Drosophila melanogaster: one gene and its partner. The protein of the gene in region 2 purifies or fractionates together with the protein of the main gene of each other region. This does not show direct contact. Each region holds a gene or a part of one and is shown on either strand. Other genes may lie near its edges.

Evidence for each region.
Region 1: the proteins of DIP-eta (region 2) and dpr7 purify together in Drosophila melanogaster (affinity purification with western blotting; 2 studies listed by BioGRID). This does not show direct contact.

What each region holds. Positions count from the first base shown.
Region 1 is NC_004353.4:247,313-255,078, forward strand, and holds the start of dpr7 (defective proboscis extension response 7), read right to left. Parts: upstream 6,018-7,766; 5' UTR 5,889-6,017; exon of another isoform or gene 5,702-5,888; 5' UTR 5,642-5,701; coding exon 5,512-5,641; intron 5,400-5,511; exon of another isoform or gene 5,399-5,399; coding exon of another isoform or gene 5,347-5,398; intron 4,859-5,346; coding exon 4,743-4,858; intron 4,214-4,742; coding exon 4,003-4,213; intron 2,932-4,002; coding exon 2,878-2,931; intron 2,825-2,877; coding exon 2,722-2,824; intron 2,666-2,721; coding exon 2,478-2,665; intron 2,424-2,477; coding exon 2,287-2,423; 3' UTR 2,245-2,286; intron 1-2,244.
Region 2 is NT_033779.5:5,614,929-5,619,750, forward strand, and holds the start of DIP-eta (Dpr-interacting protein eta), read right to left. Parts: upstream 3,019-4,822; 5' UTR 2,727-3,018; intron 734-2,726; exon of another isoform or gene 302-733; intron 1-301.

The DNA.
Region 1 (7,766 bases), on a different chromosome or scaffold from region 2:
AACAATGTTTTAACTTTACTTTAAACTTTAATGTCTTGGATGTTGTCTTGTATAGGGGCGGCTTGCAATATATCGGAGGAACTCGAACCTTATTCTTAAAGATCATTAAGCTGTAGCACATTAAAAACTTTCTTAACTATAAAAACTATATTATTAAAGGAACACAAGAGTGTTCTGAATGATTTATTTGCGATATAAAACATATTAATCGTATCCGCCATTATGTTGCAGGAGTAAAGATCGGACCAATTAAAGCCAGCTATAAAATTGTTTAGCCTACGAAAATTTGCCTTGCGAAAACAGTGAATTCGCTTGGTTGACTTCTCTGAATTTACTTATACCTTACCTATGTCGATTGCCACCTCGAAAGTAGGATATGGATCTTGAGGTTGAGTAAGAGGGTCTACCCTGGACAGAAACACACTTTCAGGACTTGTTACAAAACATAGATCCAACAGTCGACCAAGAGAGTTTGGAATATAATTAACTAGCGACAAAGATAAGTCGAGCAAGCCGTCAATAAAGTCATGTTGTGCTAAAGGGAGAAGGATATTCGATTTTTCTTCTGGGGACCCCGTTGTGCCAGGTATATTAAAATCACCTAGAACTACCAATTGGTCCCTGTCAGACAGTTTATTCAAGATGGACTGGATATCGGACAGATGATTCTTATATTCTGGGAATTCAGAAGATGGCGGAATATACGAGCACGTAATATAAACTGAACTGTCGGAAAATTACAGCTTTACACATAAGAATTCCGAGTTACGGGAATCGCCCAAAAGTAACTCTTCTGACGAGAGGATAGATCTAACCGCAATTAAGACTCCACCTCCCCGTCTGGAGGGACGGTCATACCAAAGACACTACAATGACAAGATGCGTAACGGCCATACATTGGTTTGGCACTATGCAGCCGCCACTTTTTTGGTGACGGCCAAAATTGCTCTCTGTCCGCTAGCTTACGCCGAGAGCGTAAGAAATCTTAAAATAGAACTTGCTTGCTTGTGCAAGTAAAAACAAGAGACGAGAACGCGTATATGTGTGCGTGTTGTTCTAGAAGACGATTTCGGGCCGAAAATTTTAGTGCCTTTGATCTGTCCCTAGCGTAAGAGAAGTTACACTTTTCCACTTTTATATTATCGGCTTTTGTTTTGTCTTGTATATAAGACAATACATCAGACAATGTTTCATCACGGGAAAGCCGAGAAACGAAAATTTGTTTATTTAGTGGAACCACCGCGAGGGGTTTTGGTCCTGCAGATTGTATTTCTGAAGTGCCAACTTGTGCCGTTAGTCCGGACTCAATGTTCCGTTGTGGTGGTAAACTAATCGGGACAGGTGGAATCACTGGTTAAGAAACCAGTGCAGGCAATTCGGAATTTTAAGCAATCACAGGTTGGGGTCAAACTGCACAAATCACAAAAGAATCACTCGCGAAGCGAACGGATCTTTAATAATTATGTTTAAAATATTTGATAATTAAAAAAGATTATTAAAAACCACGGCTGGTTGGACAAACACGAAATAAAAATCGGGTCGCAAAAAAAAAAACACGAACGTTCGCTTTGAAAGCTAATAGACTTTTTGAAGGCTTAATTATTAACATTGTATTTATACAGGGATAAGAGAACCTCACATTGGAGTTGATTAGGTTCGGGGATTGAATCTTAATACATTTAATTTAATTATTCTCAGCTTGCAAACCAGTTTATCGACAAGTAAGAAACGATGTTCCGGTTCCGCCTGATAAACAGCTACATCTTATATTGCATGTCGTCTAAACCCTTGAAGTTAGAGCTCCTTGTCTTCGTATCATAGATATGTATTGTGAGGAGTCTTAAAACTCCCCACAAATCCGGGGAGCACCAGCGAAGAAGGCGAAGGTTAAAGTCAGCTCTAACAGGAAATAGTGGATCTTAAACCCTGGTAAAGCGGATGCCGTGAACTAACGGTACCGCGCTGAACCTTGGACTCGAGCCAGAAATCAGTGAACTTTTAGTGGCCATGGAAAAAAAATGTTTGGCAACTCAATAAAAATTTACAAGACTAATGAAAAAAAATATCAAAAAATTTTGCAAAAGTGTGGGTGTGGCAGTTTTGGGCGGTTAGAGTAGGCGTGTCAACGCGTGGTTGAAAATACGAAGGAAACTATTCCTTTCTTGTAAGCAAAGAACAGCTGGCAAAACGCGAAACTAGAGTTTATTCGTACTATATAGGGTTGATAAAAATCTATTATCTTACCTTAATGTTATTTATATATTATAATGGAAATTATATTGGTAGTCATCTTTCTCTTAGATACATATGCTCCATAAGACTTGAAATATATAACAACACTTTTGTTGATATGATAGTTATCATTGCAGTGAAAGCCCTAATCCGAATGGCAGAACTTGTTTGCATTGCTGCAGGCTGCTCACCTGTACCAATGAAATATTTAAAAACATATTAAATTGAAATAATTTTATGTTTACCAGTTAATACGTGAACCCTAACAGAAGCTGGAATGGCTCCATTTGGAACGCATGTATAGTTTCCAGAATCCCTTAATGAAGCTCGCGTTAGCATCAATCGACTCGTTGTTCCTACATCAGTTTTTTCCGTTTCTAAACTTATTCCACCGCGAAGTGAATCGAAGTCAACAACTGATGAGCCATGATACCTTTGATATAGTAAAATAAGTTGTTAAAATCTCTTACAAAGATCATGGTTTCTTACCAAATCACAGATGGTGCATGTATATTAACAGAGCAAGCCAGGGCAATAGTGCTATCCCGTTTTACATGAATTTCCGTAGATCCAAGAATTTTTGCTCGAGCCGCTTTAAAATATCACAGATAATTTTAATTTTAAGCAAGCTATAAAAGGCCTTACACTTTGTGTCGTAAAACCGCTTCTTAGTTTTAAGGTCTTGAAAGTCGTTGTCAGCTAAAATTTTATACAAAAGTAAATTTAGTATGAGTAATTAAATTAATACAACATTTTCTGGGGGTAAGCATATTTATGAACTCTTCCAGGTGAAATTAAAACCTGAATCAAACAAAAACCAGAGAATGAGACCCAAGTCGGTCCGAGAATTTTTAACATCTTTCAAGAATATCGATTGAACTTGGGAAAAAAGTTAATTTTAATTCCCTAAGGTGTGGGCGGGATAGATTTGGGCGTGTTTTATGGTTCAAAGTGGGCGTAGGTAAAATGTTTTCGGCATATCGGTAGAAATTAGCAAACCAACTGATTTGTGGGAGTTAGAGTGGGCCTGGCAGTATGTCTGTAGAATCTGTATGCTAATCTCAAACTTCTAGCTTTTATAGTTCCTTAGATCTCGACGTTCATACGGACGGAAGGACATACTCGGGTATTTATCCTGAATATAGTTGGAAACGCTTCCTTCTGTCTATTACATTAAAAGTAATGATTATAAAAACTCCTCGACTTTCATGTACCGTGCGGGTAAAGTTTTTGGTCGGTTCTTAAGTAGGAAAGCTCAACTTTCTTTATCAAGTTCTTTATCAAGAAAATGTAGATCAATTCTCAATATTTAGTTAGTTAGTTGTTAAAAAAGCTGAACGCATGTCAACTGTGAAAATTGACTGATTTTGTTGCTTTCTAACTTAAAATCGCGAATTTTCGAAAATGTGTTTAATATCAAAAGTCGGGGAATTTTTTGTAAAATTATCAAAAGAGTCAAAAGGTTCCTTTTGCTGCAGTCTTTAACCTGTTGAATTTAGATAAAATAGGTTTAAACAGTATAGATAGCATTTGAATATGCATTTCCAGCTATTTATTGCCCAATACTCTAGACTCATTACTTTACTAATTTGTGTTCAGATTTAAAATTTTTAATTGCCAAGACTTGTTGATTTCTGCCTCTTGATTTCTGTATTATTTGTTATGGTCGCTCAACGACAAAATTTAGTTTTGTATATACAGTACTCGAGTTCCACAGTTATTATTTTGTTTTTTTTTTTTTTGTTTGTTAATAAATGTTTATATATATACCTATTACTTGCAAACAAATTGCTAAATTTATTTTAGGCTCGGTATTCACTTGACACTCATATACGCCACTGTCTCTTGGCTGTGCATAATCAATTTTTAAGTCCCAATCTTCACTGCCTGGTGGATGTATTACAGAAAATCGTTGATCGCCGGTGTAAGTATAAATGTTCGTTGTAAGAATGTGAAGATCCCGCTTACGCATCCATGATACCTGAAATAATTAAAAGTATTTATAAGAAATATTAAATAGATACGCAATTTTAGGACAAGGGAAAGTTAAGTCCTCCGCTATCTGATAACCCTTTCACTATTTCAAAATGTAATCATTTATTCCTAATCCTATTTGTTTAGATATAGGCAAGCTTGCTAGAGAAACATGAGACTTAAAAGAATTTTTCACATTTTCAAATTGAGAACAGGCCTCGAAACAAGCTTGATCGATGGAAATGGAGGCAAGTTCCCACGTAGATTTGGGAGGAGAGTTGAAAAGGGCTAGCGAAAAGACAGCGCAAGCTAGCAATCCTTGGGAGAAAACTGCCTTTAAAAAATAAAACGTTTTCCTGGTGTGTCCCCAAGTTTAGTTTGAAATTTAAGGTTACTTCCCCCTCAAACAATTTTCCGTCACTAATTCGTACAGTCGTACTTTTTACCATGTGACCGAATGTGCTCTTCAAACGAATAAAAATGTTTCGATATAATCCTATGTGTAAGAATAAAAGAAAGAACCCATAATGACTTACCGTGCGATTTCCTTTATTTTTAACCCGACATCTTAATATTGCGATTTCGTCGACTACGGCCGACACATTTCTTGGGCTAATATCATCAAAGAAAGGTCGCTCCAAATTGGTTAGGTCTAAAATGAATTTGTATTTTATGTTAAACGAAAACGGATGCTAAATTATTCAAGCCGAAGCGTATATACCCTTGCAGGTATAAACTAAAAATAATTTTATATGCCCCTTATCTAGAAGCTAAACATTTTAATTTAAAGTTTCGATCTTTTTATGGACGGAAGTGTCGGTCAAGACTAAGAGCTTGCGACAACTATATATACATGCGCGAAATCTTTTGCGATAGGTCGATCATAAAGAGTGGTTACACTTGTTGGTGAAAGAGCTTGGGGCGAGACATGAAACTGTTGTCATCTTTTAGAAACCGAAGCTCCTCTCGAAGGATGTTTTGCAAAGCAAGCTTTCAGGTGGTAAAAATACTATGGGCAAAATGCAATATTAAGATTATTTTTTAGATTTAAATTTAGCATAATTTAAATACAATGGCTTTTTAAACATAATACTTTTGCGTATAATTTCACAATTGAATATTGTTAAGTACAATACGTACATACATGTATAATTTTTGTCTTCGTATTCAGGAATGCATTATATGTTTTCATTCTACACGTTGCAGAAGAAAATGGGTCCAACCAAAATTAAAAAAAAAATCCCGCAAGGGTAAAAATATATTTATCATTCTAGTGGGAAACTTTTAATTTAAAATGTATCTTACCGTTCAGGCTTAAATATGAAGTTGCACTAATGTATTGACACCATATATTTAAATTCAAGACTAAAATAATGAATGGTTTGATTTTAATTGGCGAATTATTCAAGAATGTGGCATGTTTGCCACGCGACATGTTGCTTTAATTCATTTGTCTTTCACAGATATGCATTATTTAGAGTAGAATTCCATATACCTATGTAGTTATAATAAATGTTAAGTATATAATTAAGTTAGATATTAAGCACACGCGAGAGCACGTATTGGCGCAAGATTTTTATTGAGAACAACTTTGTATCGGCATCGATTTTTTATCCTTTTAATGGACTTTCAAATAATATTCTGTTTTTCGGTATTTAGATCTGTGTTTTTAATATACATACAATTATACTTGCTGGCTTCAATTTTTATATACTTTTTTTAGTCTTTACACTTATTTCGTTGGCATCGACAATTATTATTTCAACGGTAAGCTCTAACAACCCCTAAGCAGCACGTTTTAGTGTTTCTGTGAGGACGACTTGTATACAGATTTTTAATATTCTGCAACCCTGAAAATATTCGCGCATGCCCATTGTCACATATGTACATATGTGTTATCTTACAATTTAGGATAGATTCTATATATTTATAGATTGCGTAGGTTATAATTATTTGTATGTATATATTTTTTAATTTTAACATTTTGAAGTCATATACTAAGTACTCTAGTTTCCTTTTATTGCTAAGACTCAGTAACACGGCTTAATAATATAAGCAATGGGCGGAATACAAATGGTACACATCAATTTGAGACTGAGATCAGATAAACGTGACAATAGCACCTTTACCCCTTAAATTTCGAACAAATTTGTTACTACTGACAGTTACATTCTCAAAAACGGTAATGGTAATGTAAGCATACATTGTGAATTTATCCTAAAAAAATGCATAAGTTATTATACCAGTTACTCGTAAATTTAAATGATATAGAAAAGGAAACGTTACCCGTTACTCGTAGAGTAAAAGGGTATACTAAAATCGTTACAAAGTATGTAACAGGCAGAAGGAAGCGTTTCCGGCTACATAAATTATATGATATTATTATATTATATACATTTTTATTCTTGATCAGGATCAAAAACCGAGTCGATCTAGCCTTATCCGTATGAACGCCGAAATCTCAGGAACCATAAAACCAAGAAGGTAGAGATTTAACATACAGCCCATATTTTAAAAAAATTGTTGGATGTTGTTCCAATATTTTATTATTCTTGTACATTTCTATCGATTTGCCAAAAAACTTTTAGCCCCGCCCTAAAGCCCCAAACCGGTCACGCCCACTCTACTATTATTATTAAATAGTATTAACTATTATTAATTTTTTTGTCATTTTATTCCCCAATATCTATCGATATCTCAGAAAAATGATAAAATTCCGCGTTTGCATTTACACTAGCTGAGTAACAGGTATCTGATAGTCGGGGAACTCGACTATAGCATTCTCTCTTGTTTTAGTTTTAAGTTGACTTGTTTGAAAATTAGTGTAAGTTAGTTTAGTTCACATAAAGTTCAGTTTCGCTCCCTTAAAAACTGTCACCGTCCTTGTTAACATCTAGGTGTTTCCTTTTGAAAATCAATTCTTAAATTCAAAATGTAGCTTCACACAGATAGAACTATAACTTTTCAACTAGCAGCTTGCACAGAGCATGACACATACATAAGGCCAATTATTCGCTTCGGACTAAACATCTGCAAAAGTGTATAATTTGTTTTCCTTATAGAAGGCAACACCATTTCAGGTCAAGGTATTTACATGAACCTAATGTAATGTCTCATCAGCTCTACCGCAATAGTAGTATTATTCTTAAATAACAGTACATTAATTGCAAACGAAAATACAAATTCCAATTGAATTTAGGTTTGTCCGGTATAAGCACGACAATTGGGATAACAAGGTATTATGAAATTGTATACATATGTTTTTGTACAAATCTTGTTTGTAAATATAAACTTAAAAAGTAAGAAAAGTAAAGAGTTTGTTTTCAGAACGTGTATATGTATGCACATTAGTCGATCACAAGCGGGATGCTCTTGTACCATAAATACATTCAAAAATAATATCTCGTGAACTTCGAAATATTTTTATGTTTTTTTTTCTGAAAATAATGTTCTCTTATTATGTACACGCTATCTCGCCAGGCATTTTGTGCTATTTTTCGAGGTTTAACAGTGTCTAAATAGAAAATAAATAGTATCAATAATATGACATATAAAAATTA
Region 2 (4,822 bases):
GAAGGGTGCCTGCTGCCAGACGCAGATATCAATATGTTCGAAAGTCCGCCCTTATGATTGGGGAACCTTGATTAACTTTCCAGCTGACTCGGCCATGAGCCTGAACATGCAAACGATTTCGGGTTTTGGAAAAATAAAAGTCTACTTTCTGGCGGCCGCAAACTGACAGGAACCATTTTAAACTGACATTTCATTAAAATTCCTTGTCCCCTCCCTTCGAGTTCGTATTGATTTTTTCATAATTTAGCGGAATTGAAAGCAAAGTTGCCGGCATGTGTGCTATGTGTCCTTTGTCATACACACATACACACACACACCCATACACTCACACATTTAAATCCGCATTGCATGCCCAGAAAAGTAGACTACAAAAGACAACAGGCAAACGACAGCACTGCAAATGGTTACAGGGAGGGGGTGGCGGTTGGCCTGGAACGGCGGTAGGCACTAAAAATGTCTAGCAAATGGGCCTGGCAATATTATTAATAATTTAGAGCATGCGGGCCACGTCAGGAGTCGGACTCGGAGTCAGGGACAGGTGATGGCTTCAGGCTTCAGGCCCACGGCCTGACCACAATCCGAAGCCATATCGAGGCGATTGTGTCGAAAGTACCTTCCCGCTTCTGGTGGGCAGCTCTTGGATGTTTGGTGCCATTGGATATTGATGGCGATGTAGATCACTGATGTTTATTAATTATCACGAGTTAAAAGTTTTGCTTTTCTAAATTGGCACAACAGCCTACACTGACAAAATATCTTCATTCATTCAAGCATATATAATATATATTGTGTTTCACATTCTTCTGTAATTATATAAAATTGAAAATATTTTGTAATAAATAATGGAAAGTATTTAAACAAAGCGAAAATTCAATCGAGCAATGTGATGAATGCCTAAATTGACCACAAGCAATTTTCCAAGCAAATGTGTAATTTATTTCAATTTGGATGTTTCTAAATCCTTTTCCTGTACTTATTTTGTTACCAGCTTTAAGTACAACTTATGAAAAAGCAAAAAAAGAAAATATTTATGACAAATAATAAGAGGTGCTCATGGCACCTTTGTAGTGTTCAAGCCATATATTATTTTTATGGTTTCGGACATGCACGGTCCCTTTTTCTCCAACGCTTCAATGTGTATAATCAGCTGCTGAATTATGGCAAATTTTCAGTAACCCCCCCGACAGTTTGCTTGAAGCACCTTTTGCATTTTTCCCTTTAAAACAATAATGCTGACATGTAGAAGCTTCAACTGAAATGTCATTCGCTACTACTACCAGACTTCTCGAGCTATACTTTAAATTCAATTTCCAGCGCAAACATTAATTAACACGTGATAAATATCCCGCTCTATCGCGATGCCACTTCGACATTTTTCAGAATTATTCGCCGTCTAGCTTTTTAAATTTTTTTTAATCCGGCCCAGAAAAGGGCAGCCCAGTTAACCGGACCTTGCATAAAATTTGCATAACTCATAGTGTTCAGGCTGGCAGCGCCTTCTAGAAATCAGAGTTTCGCTCGGTTTTTCACAATTTTCTCCTCCGCTCGCTTTCCAGCACGGAAGTTGATTATTATCGCTTGTTATTAACAACAGCAACAACAATGGCAGGAAAAATCCAACTCCTCACATGCCGGCCATTATGTCAAGCCGACTGAACGACGAGGCCTTGCCAACCATTTCGTTATCGCTCCGGGGGCAATTGGAATTCTTCTTATGCAATTGATACCGGAGCAGGCGGGGGAATTCGGATTAAGGGGATTACGATTTCGCAGCAGAACAACAGGGTTTTCAATCTTGAGTCAACATGTTTTAATTTCCATAATATACATATATGTATACCACTCGGCCCCACCTGGAGCGTCAGTAGACAGTGCACATTCGGCTGTGGGCGCCAACTGAAATCACAATCGAGCAGATAACAACTGATCAGAAATTATATGTAAAATGCAAATGATAGAGAAACGCCATAAATCGAAAACAGGCACCATCATGCCACCCCGGGGGAAAACCACCGAATGTGGGTTGTACAGTGTACACTGTACACATATTATTTCCGGTTCGTCCCAAAAGCGCTGCAACATATTTGCAACAAATGGCTAGCCAGCTAGACAGCAAATTGGCATGAAGCGTCGAGGGTTTGTCCTGCGCTTTATGGATATCAATGAACTTTAAATTACACTCGGGCAGCCGTGAAACATAAAATATGCAATTGTTGCCCATGTGGCCTAAACAGTGCACTCCTGCCATACGGGGACACTCGTAATAAACAGCGTCGAGTGGCGCGCCAGACACATTCACATTTGTAGGCAAATTTCACGATACACACACACACACACACAGACACGCATGCAGCTGGAATGGCAAATCATGTGACGAGCATTGACCGCCGAGGGTGGCCCGATTGTTGTTGCTTCATAAATAACTCGGGCTTTGTTTTTACTTTAAATATAATTACAGCAAACACGCAGCTGACGGCAAATGTCGCCAAAATCGCGGCTAAATTGCCAACAAGCGGCTAAAAACGCGCGCGACTCAACACGCGAGCGAATTCTACTTGTTGTCGATTTGACCTGGCCGAAATCGCTGCCAAACTATTTTCGAATGCCTTCACTGGCCGCAATCACAGCCAGCGATTAGAAAAAGGATTCCTTGCTTTCTTTCAATAGTCTTGCATGCAGATTTTAATGGAAGTTCGCATTTAACTTAATAGCTGCAGCATAACAACCTTTTTCAGAGCATTTTCTTGGCAATCTTGTATTTTTCGTGAAACTCCAAATTGCACATGTCCTGCGGCTGAGCTGTCCTGATTTTTTTTTTTTTAAATCCTGTCGAGAAATTCGCTCAGCACAAGTCACTCATGGCGTCTACAGCATCACTTCGATTCACTTGCAGCACGAATGCAACACTTGGCGGCAAAAAACACACGCGATTCCGTTAGGGATTCTGCTTGCTTGTATGCAGCAGGATTCGAAGGACTAAAGGCCAACCGCACGAACCGAGCGCCGTCGATGTACTGAAGCCAGCATTTCCGAGGGCCACCAAAGTCGCGTGGAACGACTCCCAGCGACTGCCGAGCGATGCCGAAGATGCTCCTTTGGCGAATCGTCGTCGTTTTGGGGGGTTTTGGGGGGAGTGTGGGCGCCCCAGTGGGTGGGTGGTGTTTTTTAGTGGGCGCCCGGGGGGTGGGCAGCGGCCTCGCGAACGAATCAGACAACTGTGATTTTTGTTGTTGCTGGGCCACATTTTATTTTGCTTTTTGTTGGCGGGCGCTTTTCACTTCGTGGTGCTTCTTTTTTCCTAACATGCTCTGCGCGTGTGTGTGTGCGTGTGCTGCCCAATGGGGGGCGCGCTCTCGGCTCGGTTGAATACGAATTGAATGGCATTGAAAGCCTGGGAAATTCTCTCGCCATACTTTTGGGCGCGTGAAACTGGTGGCTCGCATTTATGAATGAAATCTGTGGCAAAGGAAAGGGTTAACCCTTTTTGGGTTGGGTGAAGGGATGGTGATGGTGAGAGGGGGTGCTGATAGTAAGTAACTGTGTGAGATGAAGAAATGAATTGTCATTGGTCGTGGCGCTTGAATATGAGAGAGGGAATTATCACTTGCAATTCTGACAACTGCAATAAGTACAACAGATTATTGCCATAGGAAAATACTATATATTTTGACTTGTAGGTAGAAGAAAATGGAATGGAAGCCATCTGCAAGATGATCTTTCGCTGTCTTCTATTTTGGATCTCTTTTACGGGATTCATTTAATATAAATCAATCATTATCAGAAAATTATGCTTTAAATTTAAGTATGTATTGATAAAAAACAATGTTTCAATGGTTCGCAAGAAATAGTTTCCATAAATTTAAAGACGTAACTAAGGCCAATCTTACATCTAACTGAAATCTGTTTGAAATTCTCAAACAAAAATTTTCTAACGATATAATTTGTAGTATATATGCAGAAACAAAGTTCTTTCCAACTAAGAATTGAAATAAAATTTTTAAAATTAAATTAGTGCTTTACTAGGCCGTCTTATTTATATAAAACGATATAACAAAGTCGTTCAGCATGAAATATTATTTAATAAAATTCGCCTGCATCGTTCCGAGTCAGTTTTGATTGTTATTAAATATATTAGTGCCCCCAATACTTTGAAATATGCAACTAAAAATTGACTGCGATCGATTCAAAAATGCTTCAAAGTCCGTTCGCTATGATACATTATTTAATTAAATTTCTTCTGCTTGGTGAAACTTTTCTTTGGAGATTTCCATTATGTGTGGCAAGTGCAACAAGCGAGGCAGGAAAGTCACCCACCCACACACGCACACCAGCCAGTCGCTTTTCAATAACCGTGCCACATTGTGTCAGGCACCGTTTTGACCTGGCCACCGCCCTCTGCAACTCTAAATTGCTCATATATACTTATATATATATATATATATTTCGGGAGCTAATCAACTCCCGCCCCCTTTCCCTATCGCGTCTTTATAACAGGCATATAATTTCGCACAACACACGCACACGACCAATAAATAATAGCGATGGAAACAGTAGAAACCCACCAATAACAGATTTTATGACGTATAAAAAGGATTTATAAAGCGTCCCTGGAAGGAACTATCTATCCCGCTCCATTTCTCCATCGAAAACTTTTCATTGCGTGCCAATGCACTGGAGCCACAAATCATTTTTACCAAAAGGGTTAGCTCTACACTCGAAGAAAGAAAGTTGATTATTTTAAATTAAAATCAAAGAGATTACATATTAGAATTATTCAAGAACAAATACACTTTAATGAAATATTACGTTATGTTCAACGATG